3 linked regions of the Arabidopsis thaliana genome follow. The gene in region 3 interacts genetically with the main gene of each other region. Each region holds a gene or a part of one and is shown on either strand. Other genes may lie near its edges.

Region 1 (3,761 bases), about 10 Mb from region 3:
TTTGGTTGTTTTTTTTTAGTCTATGAATGGAGGCAGCGGACAAAGCGGTCTAATTTATCTGCGGTTTAGTCCATTTCATTTTTGAGGCGGACAATAAACCGTTGCGCACCATGTTTATTTGTATGTAAAAACGGTATGGAATTGGTCCGCTGCGGTTTTCTTCTATTTTTTTTACCCCAAACCACTGCGGAATATAATTGATGAATGGTAAATAAAAAACGGTCTGATCTATTGACGGTTGTGTCCGCCCCAACCGCCGTAACCATTCAAACCCTTAATTGTCTGTTTGTTCACCGGGTTATATGAACAGTTTTATAATATATGACCATGTAAATTTCGCAGAAATTTGACTTCGAATCCACGAAATTTGCATAATTTGAGTAAGAAATATAGAACATAATTATTCAAAAAAAAAAGTTTAGTTGGTTAAACGTGTAATATACTAATGTGTTACTAAATAAATCGCGTTTTAACAAAACTATATACTATTTTTTTTAATAAACTAACAAAACTACACGTAATGTATACTACCAAAATTTCTTTGTTTCACGATTTTAATGATGAAATAATCTGTTGTTAAAACACCAAGAATATTGATTAATCTTCTATTGCTAGATCGACCTTTGCATTAATATCAAGTTTATAATCTTAGACCAACCACCAATTTTGCTTATCAAAAAATAAAAAAACCAATATTTTTTTAATGCGTCTACGTTTACAACCACCTATTTTTACCTAGTCCGTATCTTCTTTCTAATCTTAAGACCAAAAAAGGTGATTAGATTGATGTGTGAAAAGAAGAAAAGCTATCAACAAGTTCGAGAAATAAATAAACAGAGACAAACAATACAAACAAACAATAGCATAACCAAAAATGGCCGCGCAGATCTAAAATGAAAAAGACGAAAAAACTTCGAAAAACGTACGAAGTTCTTTGTTGTCTATCAGAAACGTACGAAGTTAAAATCACTATTACTGTTTTTTTTAATCTCTGTGTGAAAAAGATCGTGGTACGTACCAGTAATAACATCCATCTCTAGAACATTAGTGATCTGTGGACCGTACCGAAACGTTTGTCCACTAATTCCGCCGTTTGATAACGTCCCACCGACTGTTAAATACAAATAATCCGTCCAAGAAACCGGCGTTAACCCTAACTCCAAAGTTTTATTCAACACCTCAATCCATAGCCACGCAGCGTCCACGTCAACATATAAACAGGTCCTAGACACCTTGATACCTCGATCCCGGTTTACCATGGACCGCATGTTGACCACAACTCCGTCTTTAGCCGAGGCTTGGCCACGGTGGCTGTGTCCGTGACCACGAGCGGCTAAAGGAAAAGACAGTTGAGAGTCAAAAGAGAGTTTTATGAGATCTGTGATGTCTTCAACGGAGGAAGGGATTAAGACGGCGGAAGGGAAGATTTTGGTGACGTGGCCGAAATCTGTGGCGGCTGATTCGACGGAGGAGGAGGAGGAGGTGAGTTTTCCGGCGAATTCGTTGTGTGAAAGGATATTCCATGGTTGTGGTGATGTGTTGGTTGTGATCGGAGTTGAGAGAGTAATGATGATTACTATTGTTATTGCTATAAGACGAACTTGTGAACGAAGATTATAACTCGCCATTTTTTTTGAGAAATAAGTCTTTTTATTTTATGAATAGCTTGATTCTTATCAATGAAGAGTAGTAGCTGTATATATATAGACACGCATGCAGACACATGTATTGTACGGATTTTTTGTTTTTTGTTTGTGTAAAAAAAAATGAAAAATCAGTGAGCAAGCTAGTATCTTCTCTGTATATAACTAGTAACTACTAATTATTGAAGAGTTTAGATTATTTGAAACAAATTATTTTGTTTTAACTAAATTTTATTTTCTGTATATTCCTATAATAAAAAAATTCAGTTGACCCGAGTAAAGTAGATAGCTGATATAATAATTATACAATTCCGTATTTAAAAGAGTATGTATGATATAAGTTCTGTATGACACGATACGCGTTCATGTTTTTGTTAATTTATTACAAAAATTTACAATGAATGATCAAAGTCACGTGAGAATCTAATTAGCAAACCACTGGTTTCAAACTTTCAATAGACCACAAAAGCAATAGTTGTAACTGTCTGAACACGCACGGTGTCGCTCACTAGTTAAATGGTTCTGCATAAATATTCCACGGTCCATTTTGTACATTACTACATTAATAGTTTCTGTAGTATTGTAGTAATTTCTCATATTGTGACTCAAAGAGGTTTTGCAGTTGAGGTTAAGCAAAAAAAAATGTAGCTTCTTTTGATATTCAGATTATGCAGTTTGGATCCTATGAATAGATATCCATGTTAATGTTTCACAAACTATATAGAGTAATCAAATGTATATAAGTCTATCAATATTATAGATGAAACTAATTAATTGATTAACTGATATAATAGCTAAAACTAACATAATGTTGTAATGTATCATCATTCCCACCACCACCATAATCATCACTGTAACCGTGATTAGTTGTGAAATAGCAAAAAAAAAAAATGAGCATGTACCATAATCATCATGGGGATTGGAGATTGGCCTTAGATCACCATATACGATATTTCCCCACGGACAATAAATCTTGACCCTTGGATTGATCACACTTATATTAGAACTTGGCTAGGTTTTTTGTGAGAGTTAAACTTGACTCGAATTCTTCCATCTGCATGTAAATAAGAGTAAATGATGTTTTTAAAATAATAACAAGAAGAAATTTGAGTTTACAATTTTTTAAATAATTTCTGGGTTTATCTAATCAAAAACTTAATACACATATAGTATGTAAACTTCAACAACATCAGCTAGTTTTATTTTCTTCTTCCTACCTGTTGAATATATTTTACGATCTTGTTGTAAACAATCGGACCTATAATACTTTACATATATTAATGTTCTTTTTGAAGAATATTTCTCATTAATATCCCTACTAGATGATGTTTCCTTGTCACAATTAGGTCATCATCAAAAGAATCTACAAGATCTGCTTCTTCTGAGGTCTGAATAATTTATTTAATTTCCTTCCTCGCGACTATCGAAAAGTGCCGATAATTCTAATAAATTAACAATCGTAGGCCAAACTTTGTAGATTCGTAATTAATCATTGTGCCGTAAATAAACGATAAAAAGCAAGACATGGAATATCCTCAAGATTTTGTTCTGTTTGCTTCTTTTGCCACATGTTAACTTGTTGTCGCTGCAATTTTTTTTTATCTTTTACTAATGAATTGAACTTAAGCAATTATAAAAAAAAAACACTCCAATTCCATTTGCTATAACAAAAATTAGAATTTAGACAGAATATTATTAAGCAACTGGAATTTAACTCGTGGTATACCACAGGGCAAATATTTTATTTTTATAAATAATATTATTAAATTTTAAGATTTTAGTTTAATATTAAAATTATATAATTTATATTAATATTATAATTAAAAAATTTGGTGATGATAAAATAATAAAATAAATATTGAATCTGTGTTTCTAAAACAGTCCTGCTATATTTCATATCAATCCAAATCCGTCATGCTATATTTTTCGTCTCATGATATTTTTTTTTTTATAAGTTTAAATATTAGTTGTGGAATTAATTTTGATTATGATTTTATACCGAAAAAGTTATGGACTATTAATTCTATGGAATATTCAAACCAAAATAAAGAATGTTTTTAGGTGCACATATAATTGGGTTTGCTCATTTTCCGGGATCGTAAATGTATTTTTTGGTTT
Region 2 (3,761 bases), on a different chromosome or scaffold from region 3:
CTTCATGCCCTTGTTGCCTTCGCTTCTTCCTTTTCCAAAGGTGAATACTCGCTGCATCATGGTTTTTTGTTTGTTTGTTTTGATTGAGGTTTAGATTGCAGAAATGTTTGTGCAAGTTTAAGAACACATATACGTATCTATATATATAGTAAAGCAAAAATTGGATAAAATAGATTCTGTCTAAAGCACAAAGATAAATTGATCAAATTTATCCATCCTAAATTTGACATGTCCATTATGTAAAAGCTAAATATAATGTTTATAATTTAAGCTAAAAATAAAATAAAATAAAAAATAATTATTATTATGATCATATGTACATCGAATAATTTTATAATATAAAAACTTGTATACAGTCGAAATTTCATATTTAATATAAATCATTTATAGTTTTGATGGATACGTCATCAAAAATACATTATTATCTTATCAAGAGATCATTCCAAAATTCCAACCTCGAAATGCTAAATTGTAATATAATTGACCAAAATTAAAGAAGTTTCGTTGCGATGACTCGTCATAGATGTGTCAACCATATCTGATCTCACTCACACACTTGCTATCTGCCACTACCGATGCTATTTTCCTTTTTAACAAAACTTTTACTTAACCAAAACAATAGCAAACAAATGTCATCAAATTCAACCAGTTCTTGTCATACCATCTCTAATACATGAATTCTTTATGGTGAAGGTGAATTGTGGATTTAAACTAGTATCATAATTTTTGTGTTTTACGCCAAGAATTTGATTGCCGTTTGGACATATTCACGTATTCTTTGGCACAATAACAAAACGTGGCATTGGTGGATCTACCAAGTGGCACAAGAGTCTGACTTAAGCAGCAAAGTGGTCTTTGAATACATTAAAGTTGTTTCTACGAAAAGTAGGGCTAATGAATCTAGAGGAAAAGTTTTTTTTTATTACAAATTTCGAAAATACTTGAATTTAAATAAGTTCATGTTTCCACAATAATTTAATTCAAAATAGTACTTTCATAATTTAGGCCAGACGCTATTTGGTATTACTACCGAAATGATCTCACATCACATGTGTGTATTAGTTTGAACCGTTCGATTGTTTAAACAAGAGTAACGAAACCAATCAACATCAAATAATTAATCGTCTCACAAGATCACAAAGCAAATGTCACAATGGCGTAACCTGTTTTGTATTCTATAACCGGTAGGGTTATAACCGATAATAATTGAGCTGCTAGATGGTTCGACCCAATGATCGGTGATAGTTTCTCTCAAGAATCTCACGTCAGAATCATAAAACAAAACGTAATAAAAAAGTGTATAAAATTTTATGGTGAAAATACACCAGAATGATTGAAATGGAAAGGCTTACCTTTTGGGCTATGGAAGCGGCCGGATCGGACACAGGGCTAAGTATGGCTCGAGCCTTCGTCTCACGATGCAAACCGGTCTTTGCTATGCTTAACCGTTGGCAATGGATTGTACCGGTTCTAGGGAAACGGTTTGATCCATCACCTAGCCGGTTTGATCGACTAACCATTCGGTTTTCTCCGAGATGATCCGTACGGAACACTCCATTTCCTTTGAAGAGCTCCGGCGTTGTCTTCACGATCATACTTGTCATTTTCTTTCTTATATAAAGCATAAACCACTTAAATAAATATAATATACTTACTTTTAAGAGTTGTATATAAAAATAAAGAAGTTGAGAGAAAGGAGTGTATAAAATAAAAATATATATAGCTTACGTGATATGGAAATTGGTGTTTGATGGTTAGCTATTTGCGAGAGTAGAAATGGCGGTTCTATAAATTTCTTCTCTGATCCTAATTTATTTGATTTTTGTTGGTTCTTATTAGTTACGTAGACTTTATGTGATCTATTTTTTTATTTATATTTTATGTATTTTTGGAGGTTTATAGATTTTGGTTTGACGAGTGACGTGAGTGGATGAAAGATAGATGTGGTTATGATTGGCTAATGTGTCCATTCCACGGTTGTTCTTTTTCCTTTGAACGACCATATAAGTGGCTACCATTAAAATTGATCTCTAGAAGTTGTTAGGTTTTGAATAAGAATCAGTTTCCAAAATTATGAGGTCATATGTATATAGTTTTATTTTCAAATAGTAAAAAACTTTTTCTTAAGTTCAACTCCATCTTATTGGTAAAATGATGTTGCTTGGTTTGTTTTCCACATGTTAAGATATTAAGGAAATAAAGGAGATTGATGGAGTAGGAACCTAAAAGTATTTGTGGTTCTGCTCGGTGTGAATATGACTAGCCAGGTTCCAGGAGAGGGATGTGGTATACAATTTAACTATATATTTACAAAAATTTGTTTGTATACTGTTGCATACATTTTTATATATCATTTTGTTAAGTTATTAAAAGAATGTTGAAGAGAAAAAAGAAGAAGATAATGAATGCATTTTTTCTTAATCTATTGATTAAGTTTATAATATTAACTTAGCGATACATGCTTATAATAATTTATACAATTACATCTAAACTGTTAAGACTTTTGGGGGGGGGGGGTAAATCATACTAAAGTTTAATTGGGGCTTAATTAGTTTAAAATGGTTTAAAAAATTCAATCGCTCATTTGATTACTAATCGGACAAAGGAATTCACGAAGCAAGCATGAATATTATATAACTTGAGACCATTTTTTCAAAAATTTGTAACATTTATGGAAATGCACGCATGGCAGTAAAAAAAAAAGCATTCAAAGAATGAAAAGAGAGGGCTTAGAACTTCCGAAGAATCTGGAAGTGTCATATACATTGATGCTCGAGTTAACTAAGGGACCCAAATGTTATGGGAGTGTGTGGCTATGTGCCATGCTCTGTTGAACTTTCTGGTGATGTTTTTGGTTAGAGTATAACTATTAGATAACTCCAAAGACTCATAAATTGTGGCAATTACGTGGAAGATGTGAGCCAACGCTTGCGTGCCAGACTGCCGGTCCAATGTTTTGCAATACCATCATTTAGGTGATGATAATTGATAAATGATAATTAGGTGAGATAACCATCATTTGATCAAATATATGATAAAATGAAGTGAATGACTATTAAATTTAATGGAAGAAAATATATTTTTAATAATTAAGTCTTTTTCAGTGTTTTTCTAAAAATTGGTATATCTTCAAAGTATTTGTTTTTTCAAATTTTTACAACCAATGGTTCAATTTTCTTACAAATTATTTAAAACATATATAAATATTTATATTTGCATATGTTTTTTTGACATTTTTAGAGATTAATATTTCAGGATATTTTTGACCCACTCAATTCAATTATCTTAGAAAGTTAAACGAGTGTTTTTTTTATCACTGTTTAATGTTTATACAGAAAAGGTTTTTTCTAATTAAAATAAATTATTAGTCCATCTGTTCTCCATTATGTAACATGATTAAGAAGTAATTTTTTCTCATTCATTAGATTTTTTTGTTTCCAAGTTTCTATGCTTTATTTAATTCAATTTGATGTTTTATGATTCCTAATATTCTGCATTATTTTTTCTTATTGGTTGAATTATTTCTAGTTGATATAAATGATTTTCTTAATGAAATATATATAACTATGTAATTCTTAAATGTTGTGCTTTCAAGTAGAAAATCTCATATTAAAATTGAGGAACTTTTAGATTTTTGGGGATAATGTAGACGTTTTGTGTATATTTTTTTGAACCATTTTTATTATTTTAATGGAAAAAAAAAACACAGATTTCAAACACTCGAGAGTCAAGAGTCTCAGACCCACCCAGCTTCTGGTTTC
Region 3 (3,761 bases):
ACATTTGAGAAGGATATAGAAAAAATAGAATCGTAATATATACTAAACTCACAGCTGATTGAATGTATGAAGGAGTGAACTTGATGCCTTCCGTAAAGAAAGTCACAGGAGCCATCAGAACGAGAGACATCAATGTTATAATTGAGAAGAGAGTGATGTTGTCAAGAGAATCCTGCCGAGACACAAAATCAAGTTTTAGTTAATTTATTCCAAAACACGAAGATTGAAAGTTTGATCCACACATAGGAAACTTACATCTTTCTTAACCATGACTTTCTTACTCAGCACATTACGGGATTGGTTAGTCAAGTTTGATGCCATTGCACTCGAAAATCCAGCCCTACCACAAAACAAGTAACCGTAGTAAATATCTGAGAGTTATCAGAAGAATAGATAACCACCGACTTAAATGTCACAATACTCGTCGACAAACTAACCAGTTGAATGAGACCTCCGAAATTGAAGCAAGTGCAACTCCACCAACAATTGGTACAATGGCACCGAGTACCCATGGAGTAGGTTTCTAAGAAAGAGTTAGTAAACGAATTATGCTTTACACAAATCAAACAAAAGCGATGAGTAATATAGACTATCATTAACAAGCCATTAGAAACAAGAATCACATAGCAACTTAGTCCAGACAGGAGGACAATAGGTACGAGTGCATTAATCAACTCCGAGACGTCAAAGAAAAACCCAAATAAAAAAAAGAGCTCACCTCCCCGAGAAACATAGCAGACAATAAAACAGAGAAGAAAGGCTCCATGGCTTTAATGGTGTGAGTAAAGGAAACAGAAACTTTCCCAAGACTCATGTTCGTAAACAGATTACCAAGTGTGTGCACAACAGCAAGCGGCAAGATGGCAGCTAGCTATCAAGGTAAACATATCAGAGTGAGTGACAAATCTCAAGAACAAGCAGCTTTTACCAGCCTCCATTAAAAACACACACACACACACACACCTGAGCACCACTGATCTTTGGTCTCTTGTACAGGTTAAGAACCCACATGATAGTAATGAGCACACTACCAACAGCAAACTGAACCAAAGTCACAGTCATTGGAGCATGTAGAGCTTTCAAAACCTGCAAGAATAAGAAGAAACAAGAAACTAACTATTGATTCCCTCAAAATCAAACAATAAAATCAACTAATCAGTGAAACACATCTCTCTCCTGTATAAGATATAATAAAATTTCTGAATTCTTCATCCTAATCAAAACATGATTGAACTAAACCTTTACATTTTTTGATAGAATCAAAAGTTAGACTTCTAACAATTTGCCAAATCACAATAAACACTGAAATTTTCTGAATCAGCAGAACAAAATATCTCTCAAATTTCTGAACACTTCATCCTAATCAAAACACGATTAAACACAAAAATGAATCTCAATCGTTAAGATTAGTTCAATCTATTGAAACTATGAACTTACAACAATTAGCCAAAACACAATGAACAGTACCAATTTCGGAATCAGCAGAACAAAATCTCTCTCCAGTATCCTATTGACTATAAGATTTCTGAGTTCTCCATTGATTCAAAACAGTGGAGTAGACTAAGCATGTAGAGAAGCAAAGGAGTACCTGTTTATTGTAGATGTTGAAGTAGATATTGAAAAGGTACCACATAGCGAACAACAAGCCAAGTTCCAAAACCTTCGTCAATTTACCACTGTTATCACCTTCCTCAGCACTTTCAGGAACTGCAGTAGCGGCGGTTCTGAAACGATTCGTGTCTAAGGAGTGAGAGATCGGAGAAGGAACACCGGACCAAGCACGGAGAGGCGAATCAGACGAAGCGAGACGCCAAGATCGACGAGATAAAGAAGGAATAGAGACAACATTTGGAGAAACGTTTAGATCGCTTGAAGAAGCGGCGGTGGTTATGGGATGGTGGCGGAGAGAGAGCCGACGTGGTTTTAGGAGAGGAAGCGACGGAGAGAGGGAGAATACGGCGGAGCTTTGCATCGTTGAGATCTGGAATCAGAAGTTGGTGGTGTGAGAGTGGAGAATGAGGAGGAAGGCGTTGGAGACTCCGTCGAGTGGGTTGGTGAAAGCAAATACTAAGAGAAGCAATTCTGAAATTTGGGTGGCGACTGATATATATTTATTGAAATGGAAATGTGAGAAAGCGTTTCTGTATTTTTTTTAACCTTAGCATAAACCTTCGTTGAAAAGTCCGCCTTTTAAAACTTTAGGGTAATATTTAAATTTCCGATTTTAAATTTTTACTTTAAGTTGGTTAAGATGTTTTTTCGGGTATCAATTCGAACAAGACTTGTGACCACTATTTTTCGTCTGAACTTTTTTTTTTCACGACAAAATATCAATTTGTTTTGACAAATTCGAGATAAAGGGTTCAACGCACTATGAGCTAACGAGAGGGTACCGAATTCACGATATTCGACTCACATTCTACTTCATTTTTGGATAACGAGGTTACGAGGCACAATCTTGACCACCAAGCTCTGAGATTATGGAGATCCAAACCAACTATACAAAATTCGGTCCTAAAACTTGAGTCATATATCCTTTTATATATACTCGGCTTCTAGCAAAGTGTTAAAACATCTAAAACCTAAATTATTTGGTTTATGGTCGACATGTTCTTATTCAATCCATTTTTGACCAACCTCAGTTGATAAGCTTACATACATCAAAGAAAAAAATAGGCTTTGTGCAAAAAAATTCTTTAACTAATCTATTTTTGGAATTTTATCCTTCATCTCCAACAAATGCAGGTTCATCATTTGAAGTCTAAAATGATACGCAATATGATCCTTATACGTATATTATAAACGTTTATAAGGTCACACACATTAGATTATATTTTTAAAATTTTGAAGGTAAGGTTAAACTCTTCTTTTCGAGTTCGGTTTAAAAAACTATATATCAATATTTTATAAAATTGATAATAGCAAAAATAGGCAAAAATGTTATAATGCGTATTATTTTATACTTCATAGGATTAATTTACATTTGTTGGAAATGGAAATAAAATTGCAAAAATGAACAAGTTTGAAGGTTTTTTTTTACAAAATCCTAATAAAAATCTTAGTCTATTTATCATGAGTATTTTTTTATCTAGTCTATCTATCATGAGTATTTTTTTATCTCACGCACTAATCATTTTATACATAAGAAATAAATGGGTTAATCCGAATTTTGCATGCATCATTCACAGCTTTGGATTTTTTTCTATATGAACCCGAGTTTCATCTTTTTTTTTCTTCAACCACCTTGTCAATATTTATTGATCATGTTCGCGTATTATTCTCTCATAGTCCCATACCACCCACGCATACATGATCCTTATACAAAACAATGTACCATAACCACACCCTATTGTGCCTCAACCTAATCAAAAATCTCAATCTATTTCTTAACTTTGGTTGCCTAGTTGTAAAATTCTCGATCAGCAATATCTGCATCATAATTCAAAACTTAGATTAATTGTTTAGCGCTACGTGGTTTTTAAATTAGAGGAATCTCTTTACCTCATCGCTTAATTTATCATTTTTGGGACGAACTTGCTGATATTTGTTTACACTCATACTCTCAGTTTAACATGCCTAAGCAACACAATAATTCATTTAGGTAAGGCTAATTGTGCTTTGGCTCACACCCCTAGTATAGCACGCCTAAGGAGCAATGTTATCAAACATTAGCGTCAACAAAATGCATCTCAAGTTTTTTGTGTTAAAGAGAATCCAGTTGTTTTTTAAGTTTAAACCTTCTTTTTATTAGCTCTTATGTA

Evidence for each region.
Region 1: of CUE1 (region 3) and CKX3, changing one enhances a phenotype caused by changing the other (phenotypic enhancement), as found in Arabidopsis thaliana (one study listed by BioGRID).
Region 2: of CUE1 (region 3) and PPDK, changing one suppresses a phenotype caused by changing the other (phenotypic suppression), as found in Arabidopsis thaliana (one study listed by BioGRID).

What each region holds. Positions count from the first base shown.
Region 1 is NC_003076.8:23,046,618-23,050,378, forward strand, and holds the start of CKX3 (cytokinin oxidase 3), read right to left. Parts: upstream 1,676-3,761; 5' UTR 1,629-1,675; coding exon 1,019-1,628; intron 1-1,018. UniProt on the Arabidopsis thaliana protein: Catalyzes the oxidation of cytokinins, a family of N(6)-substituted adenine derivatives that are plant hormones, where the substituent is an isopentenyl group.
Region 2 is NC_003075.7:8,869,124-8,872,884, forward strand, and holds the start of PPDK (pyruvate orthophosphate dikinase), read right to left. Parts: upstream 1,749-3,761; 5' UTR 1,626-1,748; coding exon 1,353-1,625; exon of another isoform or gene 1,164-1,352; intron 197-1,163; exon of another isoform or gene 61-196; coding exon of another isoform or gene 52-60; coding exon 1-51. UniProt on the Arabidopsis thaliana protein: Formation of phosphoenolpyruvate. May be involved in regulating the flux of carbon into starch and fatty acids of seeds and in the remobilization of nitrogen reserves in senescing leaves.
Region 3 is NC_003076.8:12,587,161-12,590,921, reverse strand, and holds the start of CUE1 (Glucose-6-phosphate/phosphate translocator-like protein), read right to left. Parts: upstream 2,182-3,761; 5' UTR 1,973-2,181; coding exon 1,589-1,972; intron 1,087-1,588; coding exon 964-1,086; intron 872-963; coding exon 719-871; intron 524-718; coding exon 438-523; intron 341-437; coding exon 256-340; intron 173-255; coding exon 53-172; intron 1-52. UniProt on the Arabidopsis thaliana protein: Phosphoenolpyruvate/phosphate translocator that transports phosphoenolpyruvate (PEP), 2-phosphoglycerate, 3-phosphoglycerate and dihydroxyacetone phosphate.